Linked DNA regions of Macaca mulatta. The protein of the gene in region 1 binds, or shares a complex with, the protein of each later gene. Links are inferred from orthologs where the notes say so. Each region holds a gene or a part of one and is shown on either strand. Other genes may lie near its edges.

The links.
Region 2: LAMTOR4 (region 1) and FNIP1 share a complex: the UniProt entries of both Homo sapiens proteins name them as parts of the lysosomal folliculin complex. The link is inferred for Macaca mulatta from reciprocal best matches to the Homo sapiens genes LAMTOR4 and FNIP1.
Region 3: LAMTOR4 (region 1) and LAMTOR1 share a complex: the UniProt entries of both Homo sapiens proteins name them as parts of the ragulator complex. The link is inferred for Macaca mulatta from reciprocal best matches to the Homo sapiens genes LAMTOR4 and LAMTOR1.
Region 4: LAMTOR4 (region 1) and LAMTOR2 share a complex: the UniProt entries of both Homo sapiens proteins name them as parts of the ragulator complex. The link is inferred for Macaca mulatta from reciprocal best matches to the Homo sapiens genes LAMTOR4 and LAMTOR2.
Region 5: LAMTOR4 (region 1) and FLCN share a complex: the UniProt entries of both Homo sapiens proteins name them as parts of the lysosomal folliculin complex. The link is inferred for Macaca mulatta from reciprocal best matches to the Homo sapiens genes LAMTOR4 and FLCN.

Annotation. Positions count from the first base shown.
Region 1 is NC_133408.1:47,471,168-47,474,060, forward strand, and holds the end of LAMTOR4 (ragulator complex protein LAMTOR4), read left to right. Parts: intron 1-535; exon of another isoform or gene 536-1,337; intron 1,338-1,573; coding exon 1,574-1,691; intron 1,692-2,021; coding exon of another isoform or gene 2,022-2,038; coding exon 2,039-2,136; 3' UTR 2,137-2,379; downstream 2,380-2,893. UniProt on the Homo sapiens protein: As part of the Ragulator complex it is involved in amino acid sensing and activation of mTORC1, a signaling complex promoting cell growth in response to growth factors, energy levels, and amino acids.
Region 2 is NC_133411.1:140,714,594-140,718,983, reverse strand, and holds the start of FNIP1 (folliculin-interacting protein 1), read left to right. Parts: upstream 1-1,518; 5' UTR 1,519-1,614; coding exon 1,615-1,706; intron 1,707-1,952; exon of another isoform or gene 1,953-2,093; intron 2,094-4,390. UniProt on the Homo sapiens protein: Binding partner of the GTPase-activating protein FLCN: involved in the cellular response to amino acid availability by regulating the non-canonical mTORC1 signaling cascade controlling the MiT/TFE factors TFEB and TFE3.
Region 3 is NC_133419.1:72,398,447-72,402,845, forward strand, and holds the start of LAMTOR1 (ragulator complex protein LAMTOR1), read right to left. Parts: upstream 2,918-4,399; 5' UTR 2,755-2,917; coding exon 2,713-2,754; intron 1-2,712. UniProt on the Homo sapiens protein: Key component of the Ragulator complex, a multiprotein complex involved in amino acid sensing and activation of mTORC1, a signaling complex promoting cell growth in response to growth factors, energy levels, and amino acids.
Region 4 is NC_133406.1:110,879,321-110,883,544, forward strand, and holds the start of LAMTOR2 (ragulator complex protein LAMTOR2), read right to left. Parts: upstream 2,899-4,224; 5' UTR 2,774-2,898; coding exon 2,706-2,773; intron 2,401-2,705; coding exon 2,238-2,400; exon of another isoform or gene 1,220-2,237; intron 1-1,219. Other genes in the region: UBQLN4 (ubiquilin-4), read left to right, coding at 3,952-4,059. UniProt on the Homo sapiens protein: As part of the Ragulator complex it is involved in amino acid sensing and activation of mTORC1, a signaling complex promoting cell growth in response to growth factors, energy levels, and amino acids.
Region 5 is NC_133421.1:18,770,465-18,774,141, reverse strand, and holds part of FLCN (folliculin), read left to right. Parts: intron 1-1,262; coding exon 1,263-1,453; intron 1,454-3,677. UniProt on the Homo sapiens protein: Multi-functional protein, involved in both the cellular response to amino acid availability and in the regulation of glycolysis.

The DNA.
Region 1 (2,893 bases):
CAGCACTTTGGGAGGCCGAGACGGGCGGATCACGAAGTCAGGGGATCGAGACCATCCTGGCTAACCCGGTGAAACCCCGTCTCTACTAAAAATACAAAAAACTAGCCGGGCGAGGTGGTGGGCGCCTGTAGTCCCAACTACTCGGGAGGCTGAGGCAGGAGAATGGCGTGAACCCGGGAGGCGGAGCTTGCAGTGAGCTGAGATCCGGCCACTGCACTCCAGCCTGGGCGGCAGAGCGAGACTCCGTCTCAAAAAAAAAAAAAAAAAAAAAAAAAGAAACATGTTCCTGTGTGGTGGCTCACACCTATAATCCCAGCACTTTCGGAGGCTGCTGAGGTGGGTGGATCACTTGAGGTCAGGAGTTTGAGACCAGCCTAGCCAGCATGGTGAAACCCCATCTTTACTGAAAATACAAAAAACTAGCCTGGCATGGAGGCACATGCCTGTAATCCCAGCTACTTGGGAGGTTGATGCAGGAGAATTGCTTGAACCCAGGAGGCAGAGGTTGCAGCGAGCCAAGAGTGCACCACTGCACTCCAGCCTGGGCGATAGAGTGAGACTCCGTCTCAAAACACAAACAAACAAATCAAAAAAGGAAGTAGACTGGAAAGGAGGTGGATAAGGATAAGGTGAAATTTGATGGCCCAACTTTAGACATTGAGTTTGATGTAAAATAGCAGTTAATATATATTGCTAGCTCAGCAAAAGGAACTAAATCTAGTGGAGGCCCATATCAAGGAAGAGGGAAGAGGAAGTTGAGACAGTCACCAGAAAAGAGGAACCCTAAGCCACTGTCCCATCACTTACTCTAGGGGTCAACAGAGGGAGGGATTCAAGGACAAACGGAATGTTTATGTTGGAGATTGTGCAAACAGGGCAGCAAGTGTGAAGATTGAGAAAAAGATGGAGCCATTAACAGGTCAGTGGTGGGCAGGCATTCATTTCGGAGAATGTGGTTTTATCAAATAGGCAGGGACATGGGAGAAATCCAGTTTCACGGGGTTAGAAAAGCATGGGTCAATAAAGACATGGATGGCCAAGCACGGTGGCTTACGTCTGTAATCCCAGCATTTTGGAAGGCTGAGGCGGGCAGATCATTTGAGGTCAAGAGTTTGAGACCAGCTGATTAATATGGTAAAACCTCGTCTCTACTAAAAATATAAAAAATTAGCCAGGTGTGGTGATGCTGGTATATACCTGTAATCTCAGCTACTTGGGAGGCTAAGGCAGGAGAATCACTTGAACGCGAGAGGCCAAGATTGCACCACTGCACTCCAGCGTGGGTGACAGAACGAGATTCCGTCTCAAAAAAAAAAAAAGAAAAAAAAAAAAAGAGAGATGGATAAGCTGCTGCTCATCCGGGAAAGTCCAGTATTACGGGAAACAGGATGGCATCTGGAGGGTGACAACATAGGGGGAGATTTCAGGTTTTTTCCAAAGCTGGGTGACCCAAGGGTACTGGCAAGCCAAGGGGGAGATGGTCTAAGTGTGAGAGCCAAGGGGACTGTGCCTGGAATTCCGTCCCGAGCCTGTGCCGTAATGCTCGCCCCCTCCCTCCTCCGTCTGCATGCAGTCATCTGGGGACCTGGAGAATGACGAGCAAGCAGCCAGTGCCATCTCTGAGCTGGTCAGCACGGCCTGCGGTTTCCGGCTGCACCACGGCATGAATGTGCCCTTCAAGCGCCTGTCTGGTGAGCCCCTGTCCCTGCCCTTGGTGGTAGTACTGGGAGGAAGGGCCGCTTCCAGAGGCTTCTCTTCTTCCTCCCAGCCTCCCACCATCTCCTCCTGGGGTCTCTGGTCTGGCCACTTTCCTCCCTTTGGGACTCCCCTGTATTAGAATTGTGAATGAGAAGGCAAGAGAAAGGAGATGTAGCAGAGGCCACTCATCTTCAAATCTCTGAGCCTGGAACGATAGAATTTCTTTGGCTTTGATCCCAGCCAATGTGCGTGTGGCCCCGCCCCATGGAGTCTGTTGCACCCACTAACTCTGTGCTCCCTTCCCTCTCCTGGGGCGGGGGAAGGTGTGTCTCTCCTCCAGTGGTCTTTGGAGAACACACGCTGCTGGTGACGGTGTCAGGACAGAGGGTGTTTGTGGTGAAGCGGCAGAACCGAGGTCGGGAGCCCATTGATGTCTGAGCCTGCCGGAGGGCGAGGGTCGGAGAAGCGGATTGGGTCCTGGGCCTCTGTGATGAGGCAGGCACAGCCGTCAGTCTTGGCTTGCTGCTAGAACTAGGGCCTTCTGCTCGCCCACCTCCTACCCCTACCTGGATGGGCCAAAGCTTGGAGACTGTGAGCTGTGTTAAGGAGAACAAGGGCAAGGAGACCTCCCTTTGTGCTCCCTCTCTCCCTCCCTAATAAACATGAGCCTGATGTTCTCTAGCCCAGGGACATGTGTGTTTAGTGTGGGAATGATTACACCCCATGTCTGTCTTCCACCTTCTGGGGAGAAAGTCATGCACTTTAGCCCAAGTTGGGTGTGGCAGGGGTGCCTCTGTGTGCTATAAAACTGGGAAATAGAAAAAGCTGGAGGGGAAGGGAGTCACTCTGAGCCCTGGCGACTTCTGCTCTTCCCATCAGTACACAAACTAGTCATCCTTCTCCCTCCTGAACAGGCATTTAATAGTCTTATTTCAGTTGGAAGCAATAGTTGGAGAATAAGTTACAGGAACAGACCAAAAAAAAAAAAAAAAACCACAACAACTTAAAGTGCTTCAGGCTGCAAAAGTAAACATGAGGGGCAGGAGGCCACCTGCCTGGCCCTGTCCCCAACCCCTGAGACAGGACGGTCACTGTCAGGGGCCCTTAGCCATCACCACCCTCTAATCTCAGCCCTGCAGGAGGGAGGGAGGGAATGTCAGAGGTGGGAAAGAACTCAAAGGGAATGAGGAAGATA
Region 2 (4,390 bases), on another chromosome or scaffold:
AAGCAATTCTCCTGCCCCAGCCTCCCAAGTAGTTGGGATTGCAGGCATGCGCCACCATACTGGCTAATTTTTTGGAGATGGGGTTTCACCATGTTGGTCAGGCTGGTTGGGAACTCCTGACCTCAGGTGATCCACTCGCCATGGCCTCCCAAAGTGCTGGGATTACAGGCGTGAGCCACAGCGCCCGGCCACACCTGGCTAATTAAAAAAATTTTTTTTGTAGAGATGGGGTCTTACTGTTGACCAAGCTGGTCTGGAACTACTGAGCTCAAGCGATCTGCTTGCCTCTGCCTTGCAGTATTGGGATTACAGACGTGAGCTACCACGCCTGCCCAAAGTATTTTTATCCAGCCTTCCAACCATATACAAGTTATTTCCTAAATTTCTCTGAGGATTGCATCCCATTGTACAAGCTTCGTTATCCTGGAGGGGGAGTGAGTGAATGGATGGGGGTGCTGAAAATTTATAAGATTAGTTTGCTCCAAACTCTGGTATATTTTGGTTCCATGGGTTAAATAAGACTGTGAGGTCACATGTGAGCAACGTTTTTCTTTTTTTAGAAAGCGTTTCTTCCCTGTAACTTGGTTAAAATTCCACAGTTCCTCCCTTCTTCACACCTAACCATTAAGATAGATTAAAAATCTAAATAATTAGCGTAAAAGTTTAGATATCTGTACATACATGTCTTTAGGCTTCCTGACTTCGTTGGTTTCACCTGATTTTGTTGGTTACCAAGGAAACAGCCTAACTCCTGAGCCTCCAATCGCTAGCTCTTCCACGAGACTAATTCCTGATGTCAGGGTTTGAGGCACTAGTACAAACTCTGCCCGCAGTCCCTGCCCGAGGTCGTCTTTGCGGGGAGCCATGGCTGTGGCAGGGGTCCCGGCAGGTTCCTCCACCAGTCCCTGTGAGCCAGCCCCCGCGCTGTCCAGATCCCAGACCTCTCGCGGGCCGGAGCGGCCTTCTAAGGGCGGGCCTGGGGTCCTGGGCTCAAAGTCCAGCCTTGGCCGAGGCCCCACGGGTACGCTCGTGCGCCTTCCGTGCTCCAGGGGCCGCCAGACTCTCCCCGGCGCGGAATGGAGGTGTGAAGCCGCAGAAGCTAAGGAGGGGCTGACAAGGGAGAATAGGTTGCCCATGGTTCCCTACGCAACTCTGTGGGTGCGGGGAGTCGAAGGCTTCTGCACTCCAAGGCTCCTGGCATCGTCCCCGCGCCACCCTGGCGCAGCCTCTGATGGTAGCCGACAGCCTCACAGAGGAGGATCGAGACTGAGCCTACTCCCCCTACACATCCCTAGCCACCTTCCAGTCTTGTCCTCTCGGCACACGCCCCGCCCCGTGAGCTGCCACGTGACGGGAAACGCCAGTGCGCCTAATGGAGGTAGCTCCACCCCACGCCCCCGCCTTGCCCCTGCTCCGCGCGCCGCCACGTGATGCGGCCCACCTCCAGCCAATGAGCGCCGGCCTTGCCTCGCGCCCCGCCCCGCGCGCCGTGGCCGTTTGAAGTGACTAATTTCTGTCATATGACTGAGGCGCCCATGGGGGTGGCGGGGCGGCTCTAGGAGCAGGGGCCTACCAAGCGCCCAGCGGAGCGACCCCTGCCTGGCCGTGGGGAGCATGGCCCCTACGCTGTTCCAGAAGCTCTTCAGCAAGAAGACCGGGCTGGGCGCGCCCGGCCGCGACGCCCGGGATCCAGATTGCGGGTTCAGGTAGGGCGCTGTGGGGCGGGGGTCGCGGAGCCGATGGCCTTGTGGACTCTGGGCTCCAGGGGTGTTGGGGCCTTCGGTTTTCCGACCCAAGCGGAAGCGCCGCGCCGAGACCAGCATCTGGTCCTCGGTGGGGTGGAGCCGGCTGCTGGCTCGCGCTGAAGGGTTGGAGCGAGGTCCTACCTCTTCTCTTACCCCACCCGCCTCGCCGTTGCCCCTTCCCCCTTCTCCCGTCGGTTTGTTTACTACCTGACCCCAGCCACGCGCGACTCTGCTCCTCCGGATCTAGCACCGCGGCCTGAGACTTCGGGTCCACACGCCTTCCTGGCACCGAGTAGAGTTGGGCGCGGGCTGGATTGGACCTCAGCCGCCGTACTCCGGGCGGCGAAGTTCTCCCCTCCTCCCCGTGACCAGTTGTCCTCCGGGCGCTGCGTTCCAGCTCCGTTGGCGTTGTGGAGAGAGCGGCACGTTTGGCCAAGCTTCTGAGTTGAGAGAAGGCTGGAGGAGCAAGTAGGCAAGGTGCCGTTCTTTCAGGTTTCTTGGACGCTAAAATTGGAGGTGTGCGGTAACCGGACCGAGCGACCTTAATGTTATCGAAGGAGAAATGTGAAACTTGAGTTTAGAGTTACTACTGAAGCAAGACAACATTAAATGAAATCTGGCCTTGGAATTGGCCGTAGATTCTTCCTCTTTAGAACTGTTACTGAAAAGGAGTCTTAAAAATTGAAAATGTTAGCAGAGCATTTTGTGGTGGTACAGGCTTTGTTGATTTTTCGTTGTAGTACCTGTTGCTGGCAGAGTAGCTTTTCAGAATTGTAAGATTTGATATAAACCTGAATTCAAGGTGAAATTTAGTCGTTAAACCTGAGGAGATTATGTCCAAACAGCCTTTGTAAATATTGCAGTGTGGAAACTTGCAAATATAACTAGGCTAAATGTCAAATACCACACAAACTTGGTAGGATAGCAAAGAGCCCAGTTGTACAACAGTAGTAGAAACAACAAAAAAAGAGAGAATCTGTCAAATTTTGGAACAGGCAAAGTTGAAATGATTGTGCCACACTGGTTTAAGAAATTTTGCTATTCTTAAAATTATTCACTCTCTCTTGCTAATGCAGATCTCATCAGGAAACATTCAGTAAATGCATATGGAATTGAAGACATTTTTCTACGTATCTCTCTTTTCCCCTGAAAAATAAATGTGTCATGCTCATCTGTCTCTCTCTAAACATTTCTTTAGTGTTTTTCCTTTGAAAAATGAAAGTGCAGCTTAGATGATACTACATTGAGCCATCTACTAACTCAAGCGACAGTAGGAAACAGGTTTCGATAGGATATTTCAAAGGTGGCATTTGAATAGACAACTGCTTTCTATTTCTGGGCAAAGATTGACTTTGGGTACCTAGGTTTACAAGGGTCTCAAGTCGCTCATATGAAAAAACATTTTCACGTCTGTTTTTCAAAAATGTAAAGTCTACTATATAGTTGCGTAATACTATTTTACAGTTACCAAAGAACTTTCTCATCAGTTATCTTATTTGATGTTTCACAACAATCTTACGAGATAGAGCAAGTAGCAGTGCAGATAAGTATATATTTCTGCCAGTGGAAGTAAGAATTATCTGTAAGCCCAATAACTGCAGTACATTATAGAATTGTTCACTTTAAAAATAAAATGTGTGATTGTGAGCAATGAAAACTGATGAAACAGAATAGGCATATCTGAAGGAAAAAAAACCATTCTGGTTAATGTCACATAGCTAGTAACTTACAGATCTAATCAACCCAGGGTTTTTAAAAAACTATTTCATTGAGCTATAATTTATACACAATAAAGTATAATACATTTTAAGCATACATTGTATACAGTTGTATACCCACCACCCCTATGAAGTTTTAGAACACTTCCATTACCCAAAAAGTTCCCTCATGCTGTGTTGCAGCCTAACCCCTCCTCACCCAGGGCAGTCACTGATACTTTCTGTCATAATCTTGTGTCTGGCTTGTTTGTTGCTTTTATTAGTTCCCTCTTTTTTTTTTTTTTTTTGAGACAGGGTCTCTGTCAACAGGCTGGAGTGTGGTGGCGCGACCTCGCCTAAAGCACCGTCAATCTCCTAGGCTCAAGGGATCCTCTCACCTTGGCCTCCCAGAGTTCTGGCCTTACAGGGATGAGCTACCACACCCAGCTAGTTAATTCAATTTTATCACTGAATGGTATTCCATTGTATGGCTATACCATGATTTGTTTATTCACTCACTAGTTGGAGGACATTTGGTTTGTTTTTTTTTCCCAGATTTGGGCTATTATAAATAATGCTGCTGTTAATGTTTGTGTATAAGTCTTTATGTGGACATATATTTTCATTTCTCTTGGGTAGATACCTAGGAGTAGAGTTGCAGAGTCATATGCTAAGTGTTGTGTTTAACATAAAAAATTGTCAAACTTTTCCAAAATAGTTTTACCATTTTGTGTTCTCAGTAGCAATGCATGAAGATTACCGTTTCTTCACAATATCTTCAATATTGATACCGTTTTTTAATTAAAAATTTTTATTGTAAAAACCATGTAAAATTTACTTTTTTTTTTTTTTTTTTTGAGATAGGGTCTCACTTGTTGCTCAGGCTAGAGTGCCATGATACAATTAAGGCTCATTGCAGCCTTGACCTCCTGGGCTCAAGTGATCCTC
Region 3 (4,399 bases), on another chromosome or scaffold:
GCCTTTTCACCTTACTCTTCTTTCTCAAGCCTAGGTTGCCCAAGTGTCCTCAGGCAATTTGATCCAGTTCCCAGCAGCAAAAGACAGAAGCTGTGGGCTTTGCCCCATCACCTCTGTAAACTCCCAGACACCCTTCCTCCCTAAAACACAGGCTCAGTATTAAAAGAGCTAAAAAGACAAAATGTTTGCCAAAGATAAAACTATGTATTTCTAAGGAAAGCTGGCTCCATAATGAGGCCCAAGTTAGCTTCCTATGTGTCTGTCCTTCTCCCAGCTCCACTTCAGACAGATCTTCCTGCAGGACAGGGTAGTCTCTTCCCTATCAGGGGTTCTTCAAGAAGAAGGCTGGCTGATCACTTCTCAGCCTTCAGCTAAGATCAAGGGAGGAACAAGGTTGTTTTCTTGAAACCTAGACTTAAAGAAGAGGCCATGCTACCCCCTTCAGAGTAGACAAGTATCACCCCACTCCCGAAGTGCGAGTGGAGCATGGGTTAGGTTTGTCACATCAAGGTTTGTCTCTGCGTCAGTGTAACCCAAGAGGCAGGGTTTCACTGTCTACCTTAGCACAGACATAGCACCCTGCCCATGACTGGCCACCTGGTCTAGGGGCATAGATGAGACTGCTTGGCCCCATGGATAAAGTACATGGCTTGGCATCAGAACACCCGGGCATTAGCACTTCCCAGCTTGGCCAAATCACTTAGCTTCTCTGAACTTTTTCCTCACCTTTAAATAGACATAACCCACACTAATATGACAGATGTCTGGCAAGAGTCAAATTAGATAACTATCACGGCCCTTTGTAAACTGTAATGTGTTGTACATTTTTTATTGTGATAAAGAGACAGAGATGAGAGTGGGAGAGGAGCCTGCCCAAGAACTGAAAGAGGGACTCTGGGAGGTGGATGGTTACGGCTCTTGCTACGTGAGGCCTCAAATCACCCAGCAGTGATTAAACATCTTCTCTGGGTGTTAGGAACAGAAAGGAGAGCCCACCAAGGAGAAGGTAGAGATTCAGGAGAGCAGCAGGCCCAGCTCTCCCTTCCAAGTAGAAGCTGGTATCCTTTCTCATAAGGCATTAATCCTTCTTGACTCATTCCCTGCAAGAGTCCACATTATGCTTTAAGGGACAATTTCCCACTAGGCCACAGCTCTCCCAGTAGGCAGGGTTATTGTTGTCTCTTTCTCAAAAAGGTGGAGGTGAAGTGAGAGGTATTAGGCATGACACATGCCTAACACAGAGCAAAGGAAATATGTGTTCATTGGGTGTATGAAGAATTGAGAACCAGAAGCGACCCTTGCTTCCCATACAAATGACATTTTCTTTTTTTTTTTTTTTTTTGAGACGGAGTCTCACTGTCTCCCAGGCTGGAGTGCAGTGGCCGGATCTCAGCTCACTGCAAGCTCCGCCTCCCGGGTCCACGCCATTCTCCTGCCTCAGCCTCCCGAGTAGCTGGGACTACAGGCGCCCGCCACCTCACCCGGCTAGTTTTTTTTTTGCCTGTTTTAGTAGAGACGGGGTTTCACCGTGTTAGCCAGGATGGTCTCGATCTCCTGACCTCATGATCCACCCGTCTCGGCCTCCCAAAGTGCTGGGATTACAGGCTTGAGCCACCGCGCCCGGCCACAAATGACATTTTCCTAAGCTTAAGCCCTTAATCCAAAATACGTTCACTGAAGAAATAACTACTTCCCAAGTACCAGTGATATAATCTATTTTTGTGACCATCTCCCCTATTAGACTGTGAGCTACTTGAAACCTTTCTACTTTCTCAGGTCTACTATATGTTCAAATGTAGAATCCAGGGTTAGAGACGATCAAAAAAGAGTGGACAGCAACTTGTGACTTCATCCTTGAATGTCAGGCCAGGCGGGGCAGGGATTAGAATGTGGAGAGAAGTGAGAATGCACTAAGAGGAAGAGGGAGAATTTAAAACTGTACAGGTCTCCCCAGCCTAAGCCTTTCGTCAGAGGGATCAGATCTACAGCCAAATTCTCAGAACAGGCATGTCTCCAGCTAAAGGAACCCTCAGGCCCCAGGCAGACTGCACTGAGGCAAGCCAAACTCAGACCCAAATGAACTTCCCGCTCCATTTCTCTTTTACCACAATCTAGTCAAAGCTAAACCCTCTTTGTTGCTTCCCAGACAATTTCCCCCATGTCCCGATGTCCTCACTGTATCCATTAAATCCTTCATTGGCCAACTCAAAGGCCACCAACTTCCAGAATCGTCCTCTGGCCCTAAACTAGCAGCGACCTTCCTTCTGCAACCCCAGGGACTAAGACGATACATGAATTCCTGATTCATCGCAGGACAGCCTAACTCAGGGCCTCAGCTTACCCACCCCTGCAATGGATTCGCAAAACCCACTAATACAGAGAAGACAGGAAGCTGGGAAGGGAGTATTTCCCGGGGACCTAGACTGAGGATCCTTGAATCTGGAAAGTTTTGAAGGTAGGAGCAAACGGAAGTGGTGGGAGCGAGCCGGACAGGCGGCTGCCTGTACACCCCGAGGCGGGGACCGCGTAGAAAGCTGGGGCTTTAACTGGGGTAGGAGTCCGGCTTGGCGTCTCCTGTGTAATCTGTCCCCTCCAGGCCTCCGTATTCATCGAGCCCTGCAGTCCTGGCCCGTTCTCCGCAGATTTCTTTCTGGGGCCCCAAGCCCCAGGGTCTTAGCCCTCATTCCCGAGCCCCGCCTGCCGCGGCCGCACCTGGTCCGAGTCCTCGTTCTCGCTGCTGTAGCAGCACCCCATGGCAGGGGTCAGGCCGGGCGCTCAGGCCGCGCCGAGGAGGGACGGCGTCCGTCAGGAGCCCTTCCGGTCACATGACCCGCAACTGCCTCCCGCAGGCAACCACCCGCCGCCACCCCCAGTATCCCTTCTCCCGGAGCCGCTGGGCCGCCTCAGGCAATACCCCGGCTTCCGGTCCCGCCCGCTAGCGCGTGATCGTTGTCAACCAATAGGAAGGCGTAACCGGACACGCAGGCAAGTGAAGCGAGGAAAGGGAGGGGCGGATCACATGACTTCATCTTTCCAGTCTCTAAACTGGCAGAAGTGGCCGTCGTGAATAGTGTTATGCGTTCTCGTGGCCACTAGGCCACTTCTCTGGGCCATTGAGCGAACTCGTACCAAATGCCCTTATATGCCCTCGTGATATACTCTTCTAAATGCCATGCGAGGGGCGAGTGGGATCCAGGCCTGACGCTCCTAGATCGTACAGCCTGGGTGCACACACAGAAGATCCAGATGACCGGTACCCAGTAGGGGAACAGAGGGTGTATCGCCCAGCTGGGCTGGGGGTGAATACACGGAGGGTGTATTCTGCACCTGGGCTGGGGATCTGCGACTTACAGGAAGAAGGGACCTTATACTCCTTCACATGCTGACGCGGAGCGGAGATAAATCCTGGTGGAGGAGATAGAAGTCACCTCACTGACCTCTCTGCCTTCAGGCTTTTATCTTTAATTCTGCCTTTTTTTTAACAGGACCCATAGTAAATCTAACGCACAAAGCTGACCATCAGTTCTCTTTTCCTAAACGCCCCTCCTCCCCCATGTCTTCCCTTGGGCCCTGAACACAGGTCCAAGTCCGTCCAAAATTGTATAGTGATCCATTTGTTGTTCATGCGCGTGTGATTCCGCGTGTGTGAAATGCGCCCACCCTCAAATCTTGTTTTGGCACATTACCCATCTGACATATCAAAGTCACGCAGAGCCTGACACCTCTCTGCCACTGCATGTTCTGAGGTGAGGGGTGAGGGGGTGGAGGGGTGAGCAATCTGTTTCACTGGACATAGAGAAATGATGTTTCCTGATTGATCTACTGGACTTTGCACATGCAGCCTGGTCTGCCTACTGTCTTCGAGACTCAGTACAATGTCCTCCTGATTACCTTCTCTGACCCCATTCTCTGGACATGTCCAGCTCTCTATGCTTAATCCTCATCCAGTGTTAATTCATGCATCTATTAACAAATATTTGCTGAGCGTCTACTATGTGCCACACACTGTTATATCTGGATATGCATCAGTTCACAAAACAGCCAAAGTCCCTGTAGTCGTGGAACATCCAATAGTGATCACACTATATTCTATGTTCCTGGGTCAGTCTCACCTACCAAACTTGGGAGTTCCTAGAGCACAATGACAGGTTCTGACTCTTACCTGTGGCCCAAGGCATGGCCTTGCTTACAAAAAACTTGCGTATCAATGAGTACATTACAGTCACCCCATCACCTTGGCTCACCCCATGCCCCATCTCCTGATCCAAGGGATCGCAGAAGTCGCCAGATCTCGTACCTCTTATAACCCCTCAAATCAAGACCCTGAGGTTCTGTAAATCTTTTGAGGTTCCTGAAGGGTAGGAGGCAGCTTAAGCTCATCCCTGGGGCTGGTAACTTG
Region 4 (4,224 bases), on another chromosome or scaffold:
ACTCAGGAGGCTGAGGCAGGAGAATGGCGGGAACCCGGGAGGCGGAGCTTGCAGTGAGCCGAGATCGCGCCACTGCACTCCAGCCTGGGCAACAGCGTGAGACTCCGTCTCAAAAAAAAAAAGAAAAAAAAAAAAAAAGAAGGTTGATCAGCATTAAAAAAGAAAAAAGAAAAAATGAAGTATATTACATGTAGTAGGAAAAGTATTGTTTCATGACTTTTGTTTTAGTGGGTATATGTGTGTGTTGAGCTGTGACTTAAAATGTCTTTCTTAAAAAATTATTTCCTATTTATTTATTTATTTATTTTTAAAAAAAGTTTTTGTAGAGATGAGGTCTTGTTAGGTCACCAAGGCTGGTCTCAAACTCCTGGCCTCAAGTATCCTCCAGCCTCAGTCTGTGTTGGGATTACAGGAGTGAGACACTGCGCTCAGCCTTAAAATGTATTTGTTTTTTGTTTGTTTGTTTGTTTTGGTTTTTTTTTTGAGATGGAGTCTCGCTCTGTTGCCCAGGCTGGAGTGCAATGGCGTGATCTCAGCTCACTGCAACCTCCACCTCCTGGGTTCAAGTGATTCTCCTGCCTCAGTTTCCTTAGTGGCTGGGATTACAGGCACATGCCACCATGCCTGACTAATTTTTTGTACTTTTAGTAGAGACAGGGTTTCACCATGTTGGCCAGGCTGGTCTTGAACACCTGACCTCATGATCTGCCCGCCTCAGCCTCCCAAAGTGCTGGGATTACAGGCATGAGCCACCGTGCCGGCCCTTTAAAATATATTTCTTATGGCTGGGTTGTGGTCAAAACGTTTGAAAGCTATTTCCTTATAGCACCAGCTCTAGGCATCCAGTAGGAGTCTTATGTTGAACTAAAAATGGCATTGGTTGTGCAGGGGGTAGGGGAGAGTAGGCAGTTGAGTTACTATGAAGATCCTTCCTGGAGAGTTCACCCTCTGGCCGATTTGAAAAAAACAAAAGTAAGTTCGGCAAACTTTTACTAGGTATTCATTGTATGCCAGGAACCAAGCACTGCACTCCCTGCCTCTCTGACCTTATCTCCTACTTAACCCTCCTCCATTCTCATGCAACTCCAGCCATACCAACCAACCCTGTTGATCCTTGAGCAGGCATAATTCTGCCTCAGGGCCTTGGTACTTGCTGTTCTGTCCAAAATATTCTTCCCTCAGATAGCCACATGGCTTGTCCCCCACCTTTCTTCACATCTTTGATCAAATATCACCTTTCCAGTGAGACTGTCCCTGACACATACGCCCAACAAACTCATACTCTTTAACTTCCCTGCTTTCTCTCCATTGCAATTTCAATACCTAATATATACTACATATTTTACTTATTTTAAAAAATGTGGCCGGGCACAGTGACTCACACCTGTAATCCCATCACTTTGGGAGGCCGAGGTGGGTGGATCACTTGAGCCAGGAGTTTGAGACCAGCCTGGGCAACATGGCAAAACCCAGTCTCTGCAAAAAATCCAAAACTTAGTGAGGTGTGGTGGTGCATGACTGTAGTCACAGCTACTCAGGAGGCTGGGGCAGCAGGATCACCTGAGCCCAGGGAGGTCGAGGCTGCAGTGAGCTGTGATCGCATCACTGTGTAAGATTTATTAGGTCTGGGGGTTTTGTCTTTCTGTTTGCTGTTTTTTTTCCCTAGTCCTGAGAACACTGCAAGGACCTAAATATTTGTTAACTGAACAGATACTAGGAAGTTCACAGTCTAATGGCGACTTCCCCTTTCTGGACTTCATTTTCCTTTCTTTGTAACCTTAAGGGGTTGGACTAGGGTCTGGAGACTGCCATGGTTCTGTGAGTCGGTGAAGCTGGGATGACAACACTTTGTGTTTGCACGTCATTCTACTGTTTATACCCATTATTTCATTTGACCTTCACAACAACCCACGAGGGAAGCGGGGAGAGGGAAATTGTCTTCTCCTTAGACATGAGGTAAGGAAGCTGAGAGAGGTTAAGCGACTTACCCAAGGTTCCACAACTGATAAGTGGATGGCTGAGACCAGAACCCAAGTCAGACCTCTCAGGTCCAGGGCTCCTTCCTCACCACCACTTGATGAATAGGGTCCTGCCTATTACAAATGCTGCTGCAGACCAACTCTTAGTAATCTTCCGGAGATCCTGTCCCTGCCCCTCCAACCATCCAGGATGGGGTCCAGGTCGCCCCCTTGGGATCCCCTTGGGGGACAGGGGAAGTCTGGCTCCCCTCTCCATACCATGCAGTCCATGAGGATGAATTTGAGATTGTCTTCATTAAATGCTTGGTTCCCGTTCCGGTCGTAGGCGGCCCAGATGTTACTGGCTATGGCAGCGGTGACCCGGGCGTCAGTGTCCCCGTAACCAGAGTAGGCCAGCAGTGATCCCTCGTTATTCAGCAGCCTGGTGAGGGGCGGGGAGGGATAACGATGTGCTCAGCGCGGGGAGTAAAACGTCTGGGTTTCCATCTCAAGTCCCGCCACGGGCACATCCAGCAAGGCTCTCGGCTGAGTGTGTCCCGGAACGTGCCCTAAGCACCCAGCACACCGGCCTCCCTTTTCGAGAGGTGACCTCCCGGCCGGTACCCCCAGCCACTGCCCCCTCTGACGCCTCCTCCCTTCCGGGCGATCCTTCCCCACCCCTCCCTCAGGGAGTCGCACGCCGCTCCACTGCAGCGCGCGCCGCTGGGGTCCGTGGTCCGCACTCACAGGGTGCTCTGGACGCCTCCAGTGTTGGCTTGGCTTAGCACCTGGGTCAAAGCCTTGGGGCGCAGCATGCCTACCGCTCCTAACCCTGGGTTTTTGCACCCAGATCCTCCGAGATGCCTCCCGCGGGCCGCTGCCCGCTGCTTCCCGTAGTCCCGTTGGCCTGCTCCGGGATGCCCTGGGAGTTGTAGTTTCCTCGCCTGGCTATTGTGGTTCCGACTCAACACCGCCCCGCCGCGGGGGTCTCTGGGAATCGTAGTTCCTCGTGACCTCGCGAGGCACCATGGGAACTATAGTTCGCCTTTCCAGGCGGACCACGCGGTTGTGGGGGCGGAAAAGAGCGGGAGTGAAAGGACAGCTGCAGCGCTGGAAGGACATTTAACCCCTTCGGGGAGAAAGGAATCAACGTGTCCGCTTGGCAGTCCACGATTCAATAATTATACTACATCCTCATATTTGTCAGGCGCGCCTTTGGTTACTTTCAAAACAGTTTTCTCCGTTATGCACAATTCTGTGCGATGAGGCGAGAGGTACTATTATTATCTTGAGGAAATCAAGGCTCTGAAAGGCCACGCAGCCAAAACCCAGCTCCCTGGAACCGTTCGCAACAGACCATTTAGGCCGCGACCCTCGGGGCTATAGGGTCAGTCCTAGAGCTGAGATCCTAAGTGGACGTGCTTGGTGGGAAACCCAACCTCCAAGTCGGGAAAGGCCCCTGGCCTGGAAGGGACTTGGGGCTTCCAAGAAAGACCAAGTTATCACAGGGAACGGAGATAAAGCGGCGACACACAAAGTCCTTTGTCCCGGAGCAGAGTTAGCCGCGGAGGGGGCGGGGAGGCTTTGGGCCGGAGGGGACGGCGGCACGGCTCGGGCGAGCAGCGTTGGGCCGCGGTCTCCCGGGGAGTTCGCCCTCGCCCCCGCAGTGAAGGGCACGTCCCTTCCCCCGCCCAGAGCCTCCCCAGGAGCCCCAGCTTGGCGAGACCCTGGCCGGATTCCGGACCTGGGGCTTGGCCCTGGGCGGACCCCGCTGCAGTGGCCCCCCCGGTCCGCCCGGGGCGCTGTGGCTGCGGCTGGTCTGGAGGGGGCGGTGAAGCCTCAGGGAGGGGAGGGGAGAGGAGGGGAGGGGAGGGGAGGGGAGAGGTGGAGAGAGGGGAGTGTTGGAGGCGCAGGAGCCGAGCCGGGCCGGCCGGGCGGGCGGGGAGGAGGAGGAGCCGGGCGGGCTGGCGGGCGGCCGGGTGGCGGCGGCGGCATGGCGGAGCCGAGCGGGGCCGAGACGAGGCCCCCTATTCGGGTCACCGTCAAGACCCCTAAGGACAAGGAGGAAATTGTGATCTGCGATCGAGCCTCGGTCAAGGAGGTAGTACAGCAGGCGGGAGGCGGGGGGAGCGCGGAGGAGGGGTCTGCGAAGAGATGGGGGCCTCCCTGACGGTCTGGCGTCCTGGAGGGCCCCGGAGAGGAGAGCGGGGGCCAGCTGGGACTCCGAGGAGCTGAAGGGAAGGAGAGTCGGGTAGGGGGCGCCCTG
Region 5 (3,677 bases), on another chromosome or scaffold:
ATGGAGATGTCGTCATTTGTGAGGGCTCCATGAAGATTCATTGAAATGGCAAATACTCATTTCTTCATCTGCGAAATGGAGATAATAGTGCTGACGTCAGAACAGCTGAGAGGACTAAATGAAATGATGTTGGATGCAGCCATAAAGAAGAGTGAAGTTGGGCACTGGTGCATGCCTGGAATCCCAGCACTTGGGAGACCGAGACAGGCGGATTGCTTGAACTCAGGAGTTTGAGACCAGCCTGAGCAACATAGGGAGGTCCAGCCTCCACAAAAAATATGAAAAGTAGCTGGGCGTGGTGGCACATGCCTGTAGTCCCAGCTACTTGGAAGGCTTCATTGGGAGGATCACTTGATCCCAGAAGATTGAGGCTGCAGTGAGCCGCGATCGTGCCACTGCATTCCAGCCTGGGCAACAGAGCCAGACCGTGTCTCAAAGAAGATGGGAATAGTAGACACTGGGGACTCCAGAAGGAGGGAGGGAGGGAGGTAGGGAGGGGAGCAAGGGCTGAAATACTTTCTATCGGATACTATCTGGGCATATTACTTCCTGTGGTTCACTGTCTGGGTGACAGGATTCATAGAAGCCCAAACTTTAGCACCACGCAGCATACCCTTGTAACAGCCGCACACGTACGCCCTCAATCTAAAATAAAAGTGGATTGGGAGGCCGAGGCAGGCGGATCATGAGGTCAGAAGTTCGAGACCAGCCTGGCAGATATGGTGAAATCCTGTCTCTACTAAAAATACAAAAATTAGCTAGGTGTGGTGGCAAGCGCCTATAGTCCCAGCTACTCAGGAGGCTGAGGCAGAAGAATCACTTGAACCCGGGAGGCAGAGGTCGCAGTGAGCCGAGATGGTGCCATTGCATTCCAGCCTGGGCGACAGAGCAAGATTCCGTCTCAAAAAAAAAAGTGGAAAAAAAAGAAACAATGTGTAGATCCTCAAGAACTGTGGCCGACTGGGTGTGCTCCGTAGACACACTGTTGGCGTTTTTCTCACTGGTTTGAGTTTTCTCACCAGCAAAGAACAGCTGACGGTCTTTCTGTAGGTGCTTCTAAGAGAGATGTGTGGTGCCCTGGGCTAAGTAGACAGCAACTGAGCCCTCCCTCCCACCCCAGGGCTCCCAGAGCAGCAGGGAGCATGGGACCTGGCCGCAGCCAGGAATCTACACTGACTGGCTCAGCCCACCATGTGCCTTGGGCTGAAGTCAGGGGACAAGACTGTTTGTATTTGTAACTGTCCGTGTTGTCTGTCTTGCAGATTTAGAAGAGGAATCAGAAAGCTGGGACAACTCTGAGGCTGAAGAGGAAGAGAAAGCCCCTGTGTTGACGGAGGGTGTAGAAGGGCGGGAGCTGACCCAGGGCACAGCAGAGTCCTCCTCTCTCTCAGGCTGTGGGAGCTGGCAGCCCCGGAAGCTGCCAGTCTTCAAGTCCCTCCGGCACATGAGGCAGGTAGGCAGCAGGGGCAAAGCACATCAGGAACTCGGGAGGAGAGCCCAGCCGTCCCTGCCCACACGCCTTGCCTCTGGACCCTGCATCTTCAAAACCCTGCAGGAAGTGACTGACAGCCTCCTCGGTGGGTGGCTGGGGGCACGGGGCGTCGGGGGTATTAGCCCTAGGATCAGTGCTCACCTTTCAATGATGACCTAAGTATCTTCAAAGAAAAGCCCACATAGTTGGCATCCCATGGTCCTCTAATCCTCTAAGAACCTCCTAAAGGCATTGAACAGCACCATAATTGGTTTGGATGCAGCCTGGACCCTGCCCATTGAAAGTCATGGTCATTCTTGGCTGGGTGCGATGGCTCACACTTGTAATCCCAGCACTTTGTGAGGCCGAGGGGGGCGGATCACGAGGTCAGGAGATCGAGACCAGCCTGGCCAACATAGTGAAACCCCATCTCTACTAAAATATAAAAATTAGCTGGCCATGGTGGTGTGCACCTGTAGTCCCAGCTACTCGGGAGGCTGAGGCAGGAGAATCACTTGAACCTGGGAGGCAAATGTTGCAGTGAGCCGAGATTGCGCCACTGTACTCCAGCCTGGGTGACAGAGTGAGATTCCATCTCAAAAAAAAAAAAAAAAAGAGAGAACCTGCATACAAACCATAGTAGTAAACAGCAGCCAAACCATGGAATATGATTAATTAGAAGAAATAGGCAGTGTGTGTTTAGGGTGATGTATGTACATGTGTGCCTGCCAGACATGACAGAATCTAACAGCGTTGCCTCCGGGTATAGCGAGTCAGATGCCGGGAGAGAGGGGTGCGGGTTGCTGGATTACAAGGGCAGGCTGCCTTCTTACAAGATTCTCCTGTGTGTGTTTTTCCAATGAGCACTGATTCATCAGAAGAGAGTTACTTGTTTTGGAAAATGGAGTGAGACTGATTTCATGGCAGATGTCCTTGGGGCTTCTGGATGAAAACACTCATTCCATCAAAATCCTGCATTCGGCTGAAACCTTCCTTGTCCATTGCTTATGTCGATGAAGGTTGGAAGGGCTCTGGAATTCCTCTGGAGGTGGGACTGCGTTGAGGCTGTTGGGGTTTGGTGAAACGTGGTATTGTGGTCTCTCTCTCACACTGTGTTTCAAAGCTGTGTTTGTCTTCTTAGAAGCCATGAGACAGCAGGCTGGACTTTCCTAAGGTGTCAGTGTCACGGAAGTTAATAATGGGGTGTGGGGAGAGGCTGTTCTAGGTTAAAGAGTAAGGACAGGCCGGGTGTGGTGGCTCACGCCTGTAATCCCAGCACTTTGTGAGGCTGAGGTGGGCGGATCATGAGGTCAGGAGGTCGAGACTATCCTGGCTAACACGGTGAAACCCCATCTATACTAAAAATACAAAAATTTAGCTGGGCGTGGTGGCAGGCGCCTGTAGTCCCAGCTACTCTGAAGACTGAGGCAGAAGAGTGGCGTAAACCCGGGAGGTGGAGCTTGCAGTGAGCTGAGATCGTACCACTGCACTCCAGCCTAGGTGACAGAGCAAGACTCCATCTCAAAAAAATAGAAAGAAAAAGGGGCTGGGCGCGGTGGCTCACTCCTGTAATCCCAGCACTTTGGGAGGCCGAGGCAGGCGGATCACAAGGTCAGGAGATGGAGACCATCCTGGCTAACAAGGTGAAACCCTGTCTCTACTAAAAATACGAAAACAAAATTAGCTGGGCGTGGTGGCGGGCGCCTGTAGTCCCAGCTACTCGGGAGGCTGAGGCCAGAGAATGACGTGAACCCAGGAGGCAGAGCTTGCAGTGAGCCGAGATTGCACCACTGCACTCCAGCCTGGGCGACAGAGCGAGACTCCGTCTCAAAAAAAAGAAAGAAAAAGAAGGAAGGAAGGAAGGAGAGAGAAAGAGCAGGGAGGAAGGAAAGAAAGGAAAAGAAAAGGAAGGAAAGAGAAAGAAAGAAAAAGGACATGGCAACGAAAAACAATCATGGTCCTGTAGTAGCTCCTGGATCCAAAGAACAGCAGCCGTCAAGCAGGCAGGTGCCCCGGGCTTGAGCACGCGGCTGGATATCAGGTGCATCCATCCGGGCCCTCCTGGCTGCAGTCATGGTCTCAGCTGTGGAGATGCCCTTGTTCTCCTGGGTGCTGCCATGTCGAGGGCCCTATAGCTTGCTTTCAAATGGTTCAGCAGAAAGTGTCTGTAGAGAGAAGGTGAATATTGCAGAAGGTTAACATTTTT